Linked DNA regions of Alligator mississippiensis. The main gene of each other region encodes a partner of the protein of the gene in region 2 in a complex. Links are inferred from orthologs where the notes say so. Each region holds a gene or a part of one and is shown on either strand. Other genes may lie near its edges. The genes, in order: NME1 and ANP32A.

Evidence for each region.
Region 1: ANP32A (region 2) and NME1 share a complex: the UniProt entries of both Homo sapiens proteins name them as parts of the SET complex. The link is inferred for Alligator mississippiensis from reciprocal best matches to the Homo sapiens genes ANP32A and NME1.

The regions. Positions count from the first base shown.
Region 1 is NC_081831.1:10,432,545-10,440,610, forward strand, and holds the start of NME1 (nucleoside diphosphate kinase A), read right to left. Parts: upstream 3,669-8,066; 5' UTR 2,171-3,668; intron 191-2,170; 5' UTR 1-190. Other genes in the region: SPAG9 (C-Jun-amino-terminal kinase-interacting protein 4), read left to right, coding at 3,918-4,223. UniProt on the Homo sapiens protein: Major role in the synthesis of nucleoside triphosphates other than ATP. The ATP gamma phosphate is transferred to the NDP beta phosphate via a ping-pong mechanism, using a phosphorylated active-site intermediate.
Region 2 is NC_081834.1:3,203,109-3,211,207, forward strand, and holds the start of ANP32A (acidic leucine-rich nuclear phosphoprotein 32 family member A), read left to right. Parts: upstream 1-4,457; 5' UTR 4,458-4,599; coding exon 4,600-4,653; intron 4,654-6,352; exon of another isoform or gene 6,353-6,367; coding exon of another isoform or gene 6,368-6,385; intron 6,386-8,099. UniProt on the Homo sapiens protein: Multifunctional protein that is involved in the regulation of many processes including tumor suppression, apoptosis, cell cycle progression or transcription. Promotes apoptosis by favouring the activation of caspase-9/CASP9 and allowing apoptosome formation.

The DNA.
Region 1 (8,066 bases), on a different chromosome or scaffold from region 2:
TTTGAGGCATTACAGACATTTGGTTCGCAGGATCAAGTCTTTGGTCAGGGGCTTTTCTCCCCCATGTAAGTCCAGAAAAGTCATTGTTCCACGCAGCTCAGTAATAAATGTTGATTCGATTCTTGATTTTTAGCTTCTGAGTTGTTTTTAACTGAATCTCATCTTCAGCCATAGCGATGGGTCAGGATTCCTGTGCACATCACGGAAAAGGCAGAATAGAGATGGAAACTATCTTTATTTTGTATTAAATTGGTAAACATTTAACAGTCATATGAAAAAAACTGTCCTCCAGAGATACTTCATCATCACAATGTTACTTTTATTTTCAGTCTGCCTCTTAACAGAATCCATATGTCTTTTCAATTAGGAAAGCCCTTACAAACCTTTAGCAAGTTATAATATGCCAGCAAGCTCTTAATGGGAAATGAGAGGATAAAAGAAGGATTTGTGGGATGCGCAATAAATGTACAGAACATACAGCTGAAGTGTGAAGGAGATGTCTCTGCTATACAACAGTGAACTGTTGATTGAGTCCAGCGTGTTTGTATACCACCTGAGATTTTTCAAGACAGACCTAACCCAAAGCCATGAATATGGACACCTGAAAAATATTTAGGAAATTGCAGATATGGACCCTAAATTCGTGGCTCTGGTCCCAAGTTTATCATGGTATGAGCTAAAACCCTATATATCTGTAACCCCAGGCAAGGGTAAAATTGCTGTCTGGTTCCAAGCTTCATAACTTAGTTTATATTTCTCTTTATAATTAGACTGAGAGAGCTGTGATGTGTAGCTGCACCAGCTTTGCATGTTGATGATTTGGTTATCATGACCACACCCTCTCATCTAGGGTGTATTTGATTTCTACTCAAATAATCTCCTCTGGGTAATGTCCCAGTTAAAATTTCATCCTAAACTCATTTGAGGCCTAATTTCCTTCTGCAGTATTTTTTTTTAAATCTATTTAATTTTCAAACAAACTGTCATTTCTAGGGATAGAGAAAATTTTGTATCTCACTACCTGGCAAACTCTCATTTTATCCGGTATTAATTCCTAAGGGCATGAATTGTACTTTTTCCTTTATTGGACACCACCTAGCATCTCAGAGTAACAGACAGGGCGCCTCCTACTCCTTAATGCTTAATTAGTTAACTAGGGGCACATCTACACATGCGCATTTAGTGCACAGTATAGCTATGTGTCTACATGTGCACGCCTGTACTGCACAGTAAATATGGTGACTTATGCTGACTTGAGCATAAATTTGATACCTGCATCATGCAGGTATCAAATTTACCCCCAGTTACTGCACAGTAATGCACATGTAGATGCCTTACTACGTAGTAACAGTGTGTGTGGATGGACTTGGGACTAATTTTAGTCCCAAGTCAGTCCACACACACAGTTACTAGACGTGCCCCTAGTAGTTTACTGCATAGTAAATTTAAGTCAGCGTAAATGCACGTGTAGACATGGCCTAGGGTGATCATTTATAAAAATTCCTTAATGTCTTAGCAAGCAACAAGGCTATGCATCCCTGTGGGTGGAAACATCTTTTTCTGTTTCTAATGATCAGCTTCCTGGCCACAACCAATTCAAAGGTACATATGACAAAATAGGAGCAGAGTGACAGGCCAGTAGGCAGGATATGATGAGCACCTACATAAATCCCCTTGCAACACATGCTTTCAGATTACAGTTTTTCTAAATGTGCTGATCCACGTAAGGAAACATCATCGGACTGGAAATAATACAGTCAGCAGACCATAGCCTATTAAAGCCATCCCCCTAGCTTGTAGGTTCCTGGGGAACCTCTGGCTGGATTGGAGTCCTAGTGGACTACCACAGCAATACGAAAGAAAGCCTCTCTGTTCTGTTTCTACTAACACTGCTGATGTAGAACAGATGGTCCTCAGAGAGCCCCCTCCTTTGATGGCTTTCAGCAAAGCACTGTGACCCATTTTTGCTGTCTGGCAATACATATGTGTCTGGAACTTCTGCATTTGCATTATTTGATGAAAATAATTGTCAATAAAATCCTACTTAGAGAAACTCAAACTTATCAACCTTTTCACCTTAGAGCCATCTCAGTTTGCTTACAATAATTCCTTTGTGAAAAAGGAAACGCTTCTTCTATATAAGGTTGCAAGGATGGAGTTAAAACCCCACCTCAGTCAGAAAGGTGCCTCTTCAAGACTGTCTGGATGATGGCATAATGGAGCCACTTTGCCGTCAGTGATATCCCTGCAAGGTTTAGTGAAGCCGTGTAGAAAATCCATGAGAAGTGGGTGTCACCACTGGTTTGAACAGCTGTGCAATGAGTAAAACGGTCACTTGAAGGATGAGAGAAATCCTGGAAGTCAGCTCCTCTCAACAGTCCCTTGCCAAGGAAATAGCAAAGGCAGAGAAACATAAGAAAGCTGCAGGTGATCTCTCCAGGGACAAAGACTAAAGAAAGACCATGTCTGATATGTATTCAAGGGTGTGATCCAACAGCTTAACTGAAAGTTTCATGTATGAAAAACATGCCAAATCAGACCTAAAATGGGATTACAACTGAAAATGTCATCTTGTTTTCCTCAGTTTGGGCTAGTAAACAGGTCAGCTGTGTGCCCCTGTACTTCCTAATTAACTCTCAGGCTCCTTTTTGGCTGGCCATACTTGTTTACGGTACTGGTTTAAGGAACATAACTCTTCTACATCTTCAAAACACTTGGCCACATTCTTTTCAATCTTGCACCTCCTCTAGTTTCCCTCTCTGCAGTCCCACCAGCTCGGTGGATTTAAACAAACGATGCAGACACATTTTAAGTTCAGTAACTGCCTCTGGATCAGGCCAAACAAAGGAAAGCGTAACGTAAGCTTCTGCTGCTCTCCAGTGGAAAATAACACAATTGCCGGTGGTAGATTGTCACTGCTCCATTCATTTGCCTTTTTAAACAGATTCTTCCCTAATCCCACGCTGGCAGGCAAGGTTCTTTGGGTAGATGTGATATCTTTTATTAGACCAACTGAGTAGTTGGGAAACAGTTCTCAGCAAGCTTTCGGGCACCATCACCCACTCTTGCACAAGATAACTGCATCACAGAGAAGTAGGACTGGAAGGGACTTCCTGAGGTCATCTATCCAAACCATCCCATACAAACCATCATCTATTCTAACCTCTCCATAAGAGGACCGTCAACCCTGACGGCACAGACCTAACCCCCTAAGCTGCCACACATGCAGCAGGGACATCGCAGCAGCCAGCGTCCTGCTTCTATGAAATGTTGTCCGTATACGCCCAGGAGATCCCGGGACTGGGCCAGTCCCATCCCTTTGTTACACCTCAGGAAGAAGCCGGGCTTTTTGTGCTCAGAGGCTGGCCAAGCCCCATGGGCGCAGCACGGGTCTGGGAGCCGTGAGCCCTTAAATCTAGTCCCAGGTCTGGCCGGTGACTCCGTTCGTCCCAAGCAAGGTTCCTGCGCCTCCTGTGAATGCTCCACGTGTCATCAGGAGGCGGCAGCAGCAGCGCAGGGCACGAGCCGTCCCTGCCCCGCGCCCCCAGCGCAGCCACCGGGCCAGGGCAGGGGGGCGGGGCCCGCAGGGCTCGGTGGCGTCACAATCGCCCGCGGTGTCCCAGGATTCCACGACGCGTCTCCCGCCCCGAGACATTCGCAAGAGCACCCCCGGCTCGCCCACCGACCCCGCCTCCTCCCCGGCTAAGCCCCGCCCCAGTGACGTCACGGCCCGCGCCCCTCCGCCCGTGACGCCACTGCCCCGCGCCCCGCCCTGGTGAGGTCAGTGCCGTGCGCCGCCGCCTCGCGCCCGGCCCCGCCCGCGCGGTAGGCGAGGCCCCGCCGCAGAGGGAGCAGGAGCTGCCGCCCGTCCCGTCCCGTCCCGTCCCGTCCCGCCGGAGCGAGGCAGCGCCGCGGCCATGGAGCTGGCGGACGGCGTGGTGTACCAGGAGGAGCCGGGCGGCCCGGGCCCCGCCATGATGTCGGAGCGGGTGTCGGGGCTGGCGGGCTCCATCTACCGCGAGTTCGAGCGCCTCATCGGGCGCTACGACGAGGAGGTGGTGGCCGAGCTGATGCCGCTCGTGGTGGCCGTGCTGGAGAACCTGGACTCGGTGTGCGCGCACAGCCAGGAGACCAGCGTGGAGCTGGAGCTCCTGCGCGACGACAACGAGCAGCTCCTCACGCAGTACGAGCGCGAGAAGGCGCTGCGCAAGCAGGCCGAGGAGGTGCGTGAGCCGCCCGCCCGCCCCGCCCCGCCTGCCTGCCTGCCTGCCTGCCCTGGGGCGGGGGACCGGCCCCCTCAGTCTCCCCTTCCTTGCCCCCCGCATTACCCCTCCCTTCCTTACCCCTCCCTTCATTATCCCCCCTCATTACCCCTTCCTTCATTGCCCCCCTCATTACCCCTCCCTTCATTGCCCCCCTCACTATTCCTCCTTTCATTGCCCTGCTCACTATCCCTCCATTCATTGCCCCCCTCATTACTCCTCCCTTCATTGCCCCCCTCATTATCCCCCCTCATTACCCCTCCCTTCATTTCCCCCCTCATTACCCCTCCCTTCATTTCCCCCCTCATTACCCCTCCCTTCATTGCCCCCCTCATTACTCCTCCCTTCATTGCCCCCCTCATTACTCCTCCCTTCATTGCCCCCCTCATTACTCCTCCCTTCATTGCCCCCCTCATTACCCCTCCCTTCATTGCCCCCCTCACTATCCCTCCCTTCATTGCCCCGCTCATTGTGCCCCCCCTTTATTGCCTCCCCAGGCAGTTTCCCTTGCAGCACCCTCTGGCAGCCCTGTGGCCTCCGCTGCCTCCCCTCCGGGTGCCCAAGCCACCCGGCCTCCTCCTAGCACTGGCAGAGAAGCCCCATGGCCCTTCCCGGTCCTTTCCCTCTTTCTCTTCCTGTGACTTTCGAGGTCGGCTCCCCTCGCCCCTCTCCTCGTCCTGGCTCCTCCACCCCACAGCTGGTTTCCTTCTCACTTAGCGATGCTGCTGGCAGGGCAGACCAGGGAGCCAGGCATTAAGGACTTCCCCAGCGCCCGCTTCCCCCTTCGGCAAATGCATGGAGGTTGAGGAGCTTGGGGGGACTTGGGGCTGTTACTTGTGAGTGGCCGGGGCGGCCGGCCTGGGACGTGGCGCTGCGTTGTGGCCTGGACAGAAGCAGCAAGGGTTTGTCCCTGTGGAAAGCTCAAGGGCCAGGGAATGGGACGCTTCAGCTGAGCAACAGGTAATGCAGGTTGCTCAAGACTGGTACTTGGCTGATGACAGTAAGCCGCCCGTGTGGGCGTTACAAGGTCATTCATTCAAATTCACATAGTCTTGGAGGGAGGAAAACAGGAAAGCTGCCCTTGCATCAGAACATCATCATTTTGTATTCTTACACTATCATTTGGGGCTTTAAATTTCTTTCTCCCAGGACACTGACTATGCCCATCTTTTTCCCTGAAGATTTTAGTCGAGTTTGCGTGTCCAAATCCATAAGAAGACTAATAGTCTCAGTGGAGATTCAGTGGCCAAATCTCCGAATCCAAATCGAATCGGAAGACCCTTTAATCGATTCAGAGAGATTTGGAAAGATTCGACAATTCAGCCATAGGCATAGCTTTAAATGTTTTTTTCCTACATACCTCGAGATACCAGGCGGGTCGTGAGTGCTGCGATGCTGGGGCGGGCAGAGTGTCTTGTAAGAGCGCAGGGGACTCCCCAGTGCGTTTGGCAGCAGACGTGGAAGTGAACCAGAAGCACTTCTGGGCCTGTCAGGGAGCATGCAGGGGGGCCCCCCCTGCGTCCTCCTCCAGCTCAATAACTAGTGCCTCCTGGGTCTGGGGGGCACACCTGGGGTCCCCCCAAACCCGATCACCAAGCTGTGGGGGGGGCCCCTGTGCACTCAGTACTTCCAGTCCGCTTCTGGGTTCGTTGCTGAGCATGCAGGGGTGCCTCCCCATGCTCCTGTGCGGGACGCTCCATCTGCCCCAGCATTGCAACGCTCACGAGTCAGGCCTGGTACCTCAAAGTATGTACAAAAAACATTTAAAGCTGCGTCTGTGGCTGAATCGCTGACTCCAAATCAGCATTGAATCTTTGGGTTTGGCCGAATCGAATCAGGGACAGCAGTCTGAATCAAGAAATTGAATCACTGTCCCCGATTCGGGTTGAATTTGAATTGAATACGGCCAGCTTTGCACACCCCTACAAAATATGATGCTATTAGTTGTATCAGTGCTCTTGGACTCTTGAGAAGTTGCAGATCTGTAGGTATTTCTGCAACTCTTGTGGTAACTTAATTGCTTCACGATCTATTTCTACCGATTTATTAACTGGACTAGATTTGCTGCCTAGTTGCTTCAGCAGAACTTGTTAGGAGTCTCAGAAACTATAACTAGCTTAGGGAATGGACATAACTTCTTTCCACCAATGTAATTTACAGCTGTTTGATACGTAGATATATGGCATACCCCGTTTAAAGTTATAGCCTGTCAACGGAGCTCCTTAAATATTGAATTCTGTCCTTGCTGTATCAGCACCCCTGAACCTGACTAAATACTGTCATTTTCAAGTCTTCTAATATCAGCCCCTTGATGGTTGCTTTCCCATTGTTGTGTCTGGTGCTAATTATGCAGTTAAACAGAGTATAATTACATCACCGAGTAGGTAGTTTTGTCTGAAAGGTTCTTTATGCTTCACTAGTGTAAGTACTTGGATGATATGCAGATAGCACAATGTCAAGCTCATGTTTTTCTTAAGCTAACCAGTAAAATGAATTTTACACTGATCCAGTATGCACAGAAGTGGAGTACACTGTTAAATGTACTGGGCTGCAGAGCAGTCTGACCTATGTGGTTATTTCCATGCAGTACACAGTCATTACAGTGCCCTGCAACTAGATTGTGGTGGAGCAGATAGTGGTTTGTTTGCTCTGGGCAGACCTGACACCCTGAGATAAGCTGCAGACGCATGACACTTACATCAGCGTAGTTTTGCCCCTGGTTTTTTCCTTGGGTAATTTTCTATCCAGTTTCAGAAGGTATACTGGTGTAGGACTGCATGGTGTTTGTTCCTCTTTTTTACACTTGTTTTTAAAAAAGAAAAAGTACGTAATGTCCATTCCCTCAAAGACCTAGCTTCTGCATGCGAGCACTGTTGTTCCTTCAGTTAGTATGCCTTGTACAGTCACTGTATTCAAGTTACTTACAGTTGTCCAGTTTTCAGATACATGCATGAAAACTTAATGGTCATAAAATCTAAGTGTGGTTTTTAGATTCTTTCATTGCGCTTACCTTCTGAAAATTTGGTTGGAATATGAGCTGTCGTAACAATTCTGCACCAGCCAGGACTCAAATGAAGGGGGAAAACATGAGTTTCAGGTTTGCAGTATTAGTTTTACAACAGGCACAGTGTTTTATGTAAAATGGTGGCTAAAATGGTGTTTTTGACCTTTTTGAGTAAACAACCAGTGGTAAATAGTTGTTTCCTCTCTGTGATAGTAAAGGGGTCCTAATAAAGGACTACTGTCGTACTTGGACTACTCTAAATGATTCTTCTCTCTTATAATGAGCATTTAGGAATTGTGATTTTGCAGTAGTCTCATGATTAATATTCACGTTTCATAGTTTGGAACATTCTTTGCTTAACTGTTCTTAAACCTGCATGCTCCATTTTTCTTTTTCTTAGTGGTAGTGTGCAATGTTGTGGAAGTTATGATTGTAGGGTTATTTCAGTGTCAGTCTTCAAAAATAAGAAGTAAAATTCTGTTAACTTTTTGAATGCTCTGTAGCTGCTCATCGTTCTTTCAGTGAATGATGCACGTGAGCAGTTTTCCAAATCGGGAAGAAGTCATCTGCATAAGTTGATCAACAGTCATGAATGTTCACTCTTGTCGTGTGATCTGAAAACTGAGGATGGGGGAGAGCTGGATATTTTGCCCGTGTCTTAAGTAATTTATTTTTACAAGGTGACTGTTGGGAAAACTGGTTGCTAAAAGCCCATTTCTGAGGTTCCTTGTACTAGAACCAGAAAAAGGAAGCCATTGGCAGGCTAGTGTATTTTATTTAGTAATACACTTCCAGTTGTT
Region 2 (8,099 bases):
TGGAGTAAGAGACTGCCTTGCTCCGGGTTTGGCAAGGTGTGGCAGAAGTACTGCAAACCCTGCACAAAATCCAACAGTACAGTGCCCATGTCCCAGTAAAGCGATTGCTAAACCTCAGTTCGCACTCTTGTTAGATTGTGAAGACCCAGGTACACTTAATACACTTTACAGACTATGTGCTCACAGGAAACATTATCACAAGTATACACTAGCAAAGGCAATATGAGGAAGTAACTTTTTTGTTGCAATCTTTGGTGTAAAATGGAAACTTTCTGCACATTATATTGCAAAAAGCAGTTTCTCGGCTAGTCCCTACCATTAAAGAGATGTTTTACCTGTTGTTTTGGGGTTACATGTATTTAATAATAGTTTGCATTAATAAATCTTTCCACCCCATGTCTCAAAATACTCCATATGCATTACTGAATTACCTTTGCCACTCCCCTGGGCAGTTGTTATCCCATTTCACATCTGGGGGAAAATGAGGCACAGAGCTTAACTTTCCCCTAAGGGTAAATAGGAAGCCTGCGATAGAATAAAAAATAGGACTGACCTGAAACGATCCTTCCTGTTACTCTTGTGCGCAAGATGACTCCAAATTTGTATCAGATTTTATTCTTTTTGCACTAGATGGATTTTCATTTTGCTTTCTTTATATCGCAGAGAGTAAAGCCTTTTCATAGACTTTTCAGAGTAAAGTTTAATTTCCTGACTCAATTCCTTTCCATTCCACTACTCAGGCTCAGTATGCTCTCCACTATGAGTACACTCATTTTTCTTGATTCAGCCCATGATTCTGCTCATGCACTGAATAGTTGGTTGGAAGACAACAACAAGCTGGTCCATTATCAGTCGCAGTGTTATTTTTATATGGATATTTCTATGCTGCTTGTTTCTTTGAACTAGCAAAAAATTGCCACGACACAACTTGGTTTGTACTGCTGTGAACAAGCTCCTCTGTCACTTCTTGTCTGAGTTTCCCTGTTTATATTAGCTATTACTCCAAACATAATTTTTTTAACATAATTTGGAATACTAGAGATCTGGTTATGCAGCCAGTGTTTGCAAACAACTTGCAATGAAATCAAAGGGAATTGTTCATGTACAACTACCACCATGTATCTGCAGGTCCCAGGAGTCTTAGGAGTAAAAAAAAGAAAAAAGAAAAAAAAAGACATATTTCTCATTTGTCGTGAACTAATATAACTCAGGTCATTTTATTTATTACAAAACACAATTCTGGACAAAGCACCAAATCAGAACAAACCTGAAGCTTGGATCTAGATCTAATCTTTCTCACTCCTGGGTAACCTAGGATAGATAGACACAAGGGTGAAAGCCATTAACACTAGCCTCCAGCCATCGTCCTCACTACCCCTTCCCTTTTTTCTTCTTCCAAAAGATTTTAAGCACTGGACTTTTAAGAGGCCAGGAGACCTGAACTCACTGCTGCAGGCACAGTAAAGATCTATTAGGTTTAAGCAGCAACTGAAAGCACACATACTTCACAAAATTAAAGAAACAAGGAGTGCACTCGAGAGTTTTGGAGCACAGCAGGGGAAACCAGGCTGCTAGAATCAATTTTTAGACATTAATTAGTATTTGTTATCCTCTGCCCATGTAGTTACTGACAGATTCCTCTGTAGCTAAGGAAAAATACAATAATATGGGCAATCATACAGATGAAGTAGAGGCACAGGTTACACACTGGGTGAAATGTTTATCAGCAAAGACTCTTGCACCCACAGTATTAACTGTTCACTGTATTTGGAAAACAATGGCATACCAATAGAAATTTTGGAGTATTTTCACCTTCCCACAGAAAATAAATTAATGATTGGCTCAACTTCCTGTCATTACTATACAAGGACTCTGGTCACACCCCATGCTTAGTTTCTCTAAACCTGCAAGATCCCATAAAACTCATAAGAAAGCAATACTTTGAGGTTGATAACAATATATCTAACGTAAGATGGATCTGGCAATCATATTCAGGGAAATGCCTACTGAAATAGCCCTGTTAAGGTGGTATTTTGTAATCACTTGAAATAAACACTATCTTTCCGCATTACGAAGAGAACAAAATTATGTCTTTATTAATTTAAACAATATAATCACGCATATGTTATTTTAAGTCTTCTCTTGTGTTGTAAAAGGGATCGATATCACACAAACCACGTTACAGTGATGACACAAAAATGTAATTTGTTTACAAAACTGTATCTACCCACGACAATCATCTGAAATGCATTAACAGTTGTGAAGCGTGGCTCTCGTGTTTGGGCGCTTTTTCTCTGCTGGGAGAAACAATGCCAAATCCATAAATATGTACTCTGATTTTCAACTTATGGAGGATTGGGCGGGGGGAGCTATATATATATATTAGTTTGTCCACCCCCCATAGATATATTGATTCCTAGATAGATAAACAGATAGAAATGGAAACATTTCCATGTGTATTTTCTTCAAAATATTGGTGTGATCTCACCTATAGAGGATGTATATGTATCATTCATTTTAAGAAGCATTTTTTTAATGTTATACAAGCGAACAAAAACAAAGCTAAACTTTATTGCACAAGTCTTTCATTTGGATGAAAGTGAAGGAAAAATATTTATATTACTCAGAAACCTTTTTTACAATACAACTCTACTTAAGGCCATTACACTTATTCCCACGGTAAACGCGACTTTCCCGAGGCGTTCAGCTCCACTGTTCACACTCAATCCAGGCCAAAATTGTGCATTTGTTTTTTTCTACAGAGCCAGTTTTGCCTGCACGTGAAAAGGACGTGCTACTTTTAAACTAAAATTCACTCACGTACCCAGGAACCTTAAAAATGTTTTACAAACATTACTTTTTATTTTTTTTTTTTGCCAATTTACTTAATTTTGGTCTTAGTGGAACGTGCAGCAGAAGTAAATAAAAATGACCCATCCAAGGGTCAGACGGAGTCAGAAGCAGGGCCAAAATAAGAAGTCAGGCATCTAGGCTCTGATCTACTGTTTAGAAGACGAGACCATCTGTAGGAAACGAGCAACTATCTTTTTGATCGCCTTCGAGACACTTCTGCTACCAATTATCAATTGACTGTTGGGGGGGGGTGTTTTTGAGTATTTTTCAACATAACTTGGCTCCCACTTCTCCCAGGAAATGTACATGGGGGTCACCACTGAAGTGCCTTACCTTGCCCGTCGCTCACCGTTTTGCACACCCGTGCACAACGAAGCGCTAGAGGCCGTGACTGCGCTGCCCACCGCCACCCCCCCACCCCCCGTGACACAGCCCGGCGCGGGCCGACCGGACACCTCGCGGGCGAGCCTCGGACCCTGCCACACGGCCAGCACGGAGCTCACCTCAGACTAGATCACCTGAGGGAGGTCACCTCAGAGTAGGTCACCTGAGGGAGGTCACCTCAGAGTAGATCACCTCAGAGCAGATCACCCAGGGGAGGTCACCTTGGAGTAGATCACTGCAGGGAGGTCACCTCAGGCTAGGTCACCTGAGGGAGGTCACCTGAGAGTAGATCACCTCAGAGTAGATCACCCGGGGGAGGTCACCTTGGAGTAGATCACCTCAGGGAGGTCACCTCAGTAGATCACCTCAGAGCAGATCACCCGGGGAAGGTCACCTTGGAGTAGATCACTGCAGGGAGGTCACCTCAGGCTAGGTCACCTGAGGGAGGTCACCTGAGAGTAGATCACCTCAGAGTAGATCACCCGGGGGAGGTCACCTTGGAGTAGATCACCTCAGGGAGGTCACCTCAGACTAGGTCACCTGAGGGAGGTCACCTCAGAGTAGATCACCTCAGAGTAGATCACCTCAGAGTAGGTCACCTGAGGGAGGTCACCTCAGAGTAGGTCACCTCAGAGTAGGTCGCCTGAGGGAGGTCGCCTGAGGGAGGTCACCCCAGGGTAGATTGCCTCAAGGAGGTCACCTCAGAGTAGATCGCCTCAGAGTAGATCACCTCAGAGTAAGTCACGTCGGAGTAGATCACCTCAAGGAGGTCACCCCGGAGTAGATCGCCTGAGAGGTCGCCTCAGAGTAGATCCCCAGCCCCTTCATAGGCCAGGAGGGAGATCACCTCAGGGTGGATCCGCGCCCTCCCCCACGCGCGCGAGGCGGCGCCCCCTCTCCTTCCCCCCCACCCCCGCGCGAGCGCCCCCCTCACGCGCGCCACGAGTGTCCGCACGGCCCCGGGGGGCGGAGGCGGGGCGGGGGCGGGGCGGGGGCTCCCGCGGGCGCGGGCGGCTCCGCGCCCGTCCGCCAGCAGCGCGGAATGCCCGTCGCGCGCCCGCCCGCCCGGCGCCGGCCCGGCCTCGCCTCTGCCGCCATTGGCCGGCGCCGCCCCTCGGCGCGCCGCATTGGCCGGCGCCGCCGGCTCGGGCGCGCCCATTGGCGGGCGCGGCCGCCCGTCCCCTCCGAGTCCCCACGGCAGCGCCCGCCCCCGCAGCCATCAGGTTGGGGTGTCCGCCGCGGGGTGGTGGGCTCGGGGATCCCGAGCGGAGCTGGTTGCGCGCTCACAGTCCCTGGCCGCGCTGGCGTTGGGGGGGTCCGCCTGGGTGTCACTGCACGCGACGAGCCGGGCCAGCCACGGACATGGACATGAAGAAAAGGATCCACTTAGAGCTGCGGAACAGGACGCCCTCGGATGTAAGCCATGCATGCATGCATGCAAAAAAAAAAAAAAAAAAAATCGAAACCCCCCCCTCTCTCCCCTTTTTTTGCGGGAGGGGGGGCGCATTGCAAAGCGAGGGGTGCCCCATGCCCTGCCAGCACCCCCCGGCGTGCACCCCTGCATGCACGCCTGGGGAGGGGAGGAGGGGGGGCAGCCCGATGCTGCATTTGGAGGGGCTGCAAGAAAAGACAAGTTGCTGCCCCTCTCCGGCTGGGCTTAATTTTTTTATTTTTTTTTTTTTGGTGTGTGTTGTTGTGTGGTGGTGTTTTGTTTTGTTTTGTGTGTGTGTGTTGTGTGTGTGTTTTCTTTTTTTTTTTTTTTGCTTTGCAAAAGGTTTGCAGCGGGTGCTGGCCCGGGGAGGGACTTGGGAAGGGCCGGGAGTTTAAAGTGCGCCTTCATTTCTTTGCAGTGATCAGGCAGGAGAGACTGGGGAGCCATATTTGTAACTTTGTAGTCCTCATGAACGCGCCCTTTCTCTCTCCCTGCCTCTCTCCAGATGCTTGCCAGACCCCAAACGCCCCGGGTTTTTAAAGACAAAAGCAGCCGGGTTGAGCTGCCCGCCCAGCAGACACGCTCCTGGGGGGCGAGAGGGCAGAGGAAAGCGGCGCAATCCCCCTCGGCCGGGCGGGCGGGCGGGCGCTCTCCGTGCACACACACACACACACACGCACAAAAAGGCGGTGTGGGTTTTTTGCAGCTCGGGGTTGGACTTTGCTGGGTGGTTCAGCTGAATAAACGGGGACAAGAAACTTTGTCAGGACGAAAATAGTCCCCGAGTGGCTGCGTACCAATGATGCGGAGGGGGGGAACCCCCCCCAAACCCCCTCCCTAATCATCTCTGTGCTTTTTTTGTTGTTGTTGCTTTTTGCGTTGTAAGAGAGAGGCACAGCAAAGTTGGGAGGACCCCCCCTCCTCTTCCTCGCCTCTTGCCCGATGCACCCCAGGACCAAGGAGGGGTGCACCCCTTCCTGGGGGAGGGGGGGGCGGACCGGAGTGCAACCCCCCCAGCAATTGGGGGTCCGCCTCCCGGGTCCCACATGGGGCTGATTTGGGGAGGAGAGGTCATTACATAATGGCTTAAATAACAGCGCGGTGGGTCGGGGGGGGGGAAGCGGGGAGGATTCAGGTCGTCCCCCCCACAACCACCCTCCTTGTGCCACAAGGGCAGGGGGGAGCTGGGCAGCAGGATGCTCGGTGCAACCTGCGCTTTAAAGTTGCAAAAAGTCCAGGGCGGGGGGGAGCCGGGCCGAGCCCGGGGCTCGCGGTTGCGGGCGCCCGGGGACAAAGGGGCGAAGCCGGGGAGCTGAAATGCAACCCCCCTCCCGCCCTCCCAACTTTGCATCCCCGCCTGGGCAGGCCGCGGTGCAGCCCAAGTAGGACAAGGCGCCATGTTGTTGGGGGTTTTTTGGGGGGGGTCTTCCCCCTGTCGAGCTCGGAAGGAGAAAGGGGGGTGGGCAGGGGGGGCTGCCTCGGTGCAAACGCGCCCGGGCTGCTCTCGGGGGGGGGGGGGGGGGGTATGTGCAAGCGGCGGTGTGCGTGCATGCAAGGGGGGGGGGGGGGTGGTTTTAATCCTCGCCGGCGCAAAAGTTTCTCCCGATCCGCCCTGCCCTGCTGGCGAAGCCCTTTGTGGCGGCGCCCGGGTGCGGGGCGGCTTGTGCACGCGTGTGCAAGGCAGAGCGCGCGTGCAACATGACTGCCAGCGCTCAGGTCTGCCATTTTGTCACTGTTGTCGCGGAGTTGGAAGGGGAGGAGGCGGCGGGGGGAGGGGGAGGAACAAGCCAAGAAGACAAAAAGCTTTTTTTTTTTTTTTCTTTTAAATCCCCCCCCTCCTCCTTTTATCCTTTTTGATGATTTAAACAGAAAAGCGGGGTCCCGATCCCCGGAGTGGAGTGAGCTGGGCTGGCGGTGGCAGGGGGCTTGCTTTCCCTGGCAGCTGGCAGGAGCCTGTGTCTTTAAATCGAACGTTGGTACCTCGAAATGGAACGTCGCGGTCGCCAGCGTTCCATGCGGCTGCAACATTCCGAGGGGCGGCTCGAGCCTCCCCCCACTGCGCAGCGATGCTGGTGGATGGGCGCGGGGTTGTTATCCAGGCCCCACAGTGCTCCAGGGGGGACAGAGGAGGTCGTTTGCGTCATGCAGGGTTTTCGGGGGGGTCGGGTGGGGGGGAGTGATGATCCAAAATGCCTGCTGCAGCTTCCCAAGGCAGGGAGCGCATTATCGATGAGTGGGGAAGACGCCTTCTTCCTGGGCAGGGCCCTCCGGGAAGGTAGGTCTCTGGTGTGTGTGTGTGTGTGTGTGTGTGTGTGTGTGTGTGTGTGTGTGTGTTAATGGATTAATATCAGGGCTGCACCCCATTTTCAGCAGGGGCAGATTTTAGGATTTGATCCAAATGGGGACGTCTAAGAGGCAGGGGTTGTTTTGGTTTTTTTTAATATCCATTTATTTATTTATTTATTTATTTTGGTTAACTTCCTCCTCCTGGTTTGGATTGTTGCAAAGTCCAATTTTAAAAGACTTATTTTGCGCAGCAGCGTTGGCGGGGACGTCTTTAATTTGGATCTGTTTTGGAGCGAGACGTGCCGCCTGGACCGCTCTGTTCTTAAGATATAAGTGCCACCTTGTTTCACCTGCTCAGTCTTCGATTCGGTGAATTACCCCACCGCAGAGCAACTGCCGTGCTTCCGAAACGCAGCATTTCACCGTGCGCTTTTGCTTTGCCCTTCTGCAGGTTATTAAAGGGGGGAAATGCCGTTCAGGATTGCTGTTTTGTAATGCGGAATTTGGGTGGTGATGGATGCACACATGCGCCTTCTGATCTGGAGGAAGGAAGTGTACAGCTTGGGTCCTAGGCAGGCAAACTTCTTTGAGTAGATGTGATATCTTTTATTAGACCTCTTTAAAATGCCCCCTCACATTAGGGTTAGTTTATTGGTCCTTGTAGGGTTTGCACTTTTTAAAAGTTTACCCGTTATCCACCATTTTAGACGGATTTTACTGGACACTTCATCATTAATTCTTTTTTCTGTGAGGTCCTCCTTGCTTAGGTAAAGATGATGCAGTGTGGTTAGGAAGTAACTGGCAGATGCATGGTTCCCACTACTCTTTAACCTTTGGGTTTTGTTTTGGGTTTTTGGGTGGTTTTTTTGTTCTGCTGAGAGTGTTGTTTTTAAAGCCCCATGAAGAAATGTATTCCAGTAAGAAAATTAGCTTTCACAGTACAGAAGCCAAATCAGCTGAATGTGAAGCTGCTGAGCATTTGTGCCAAAATACTGCATCATGTTCTGTTTTTTAATAGACACTAATGTCAGCTTTTTGCAAGATAAAGGCTTTGCAGGTCAAAGGTAGATGTATTTAACCATCCGCTACAACAGTGTATCCAAATTTCCTCATCTTACTTGAATGTTATATAGGCTTGGAAAAG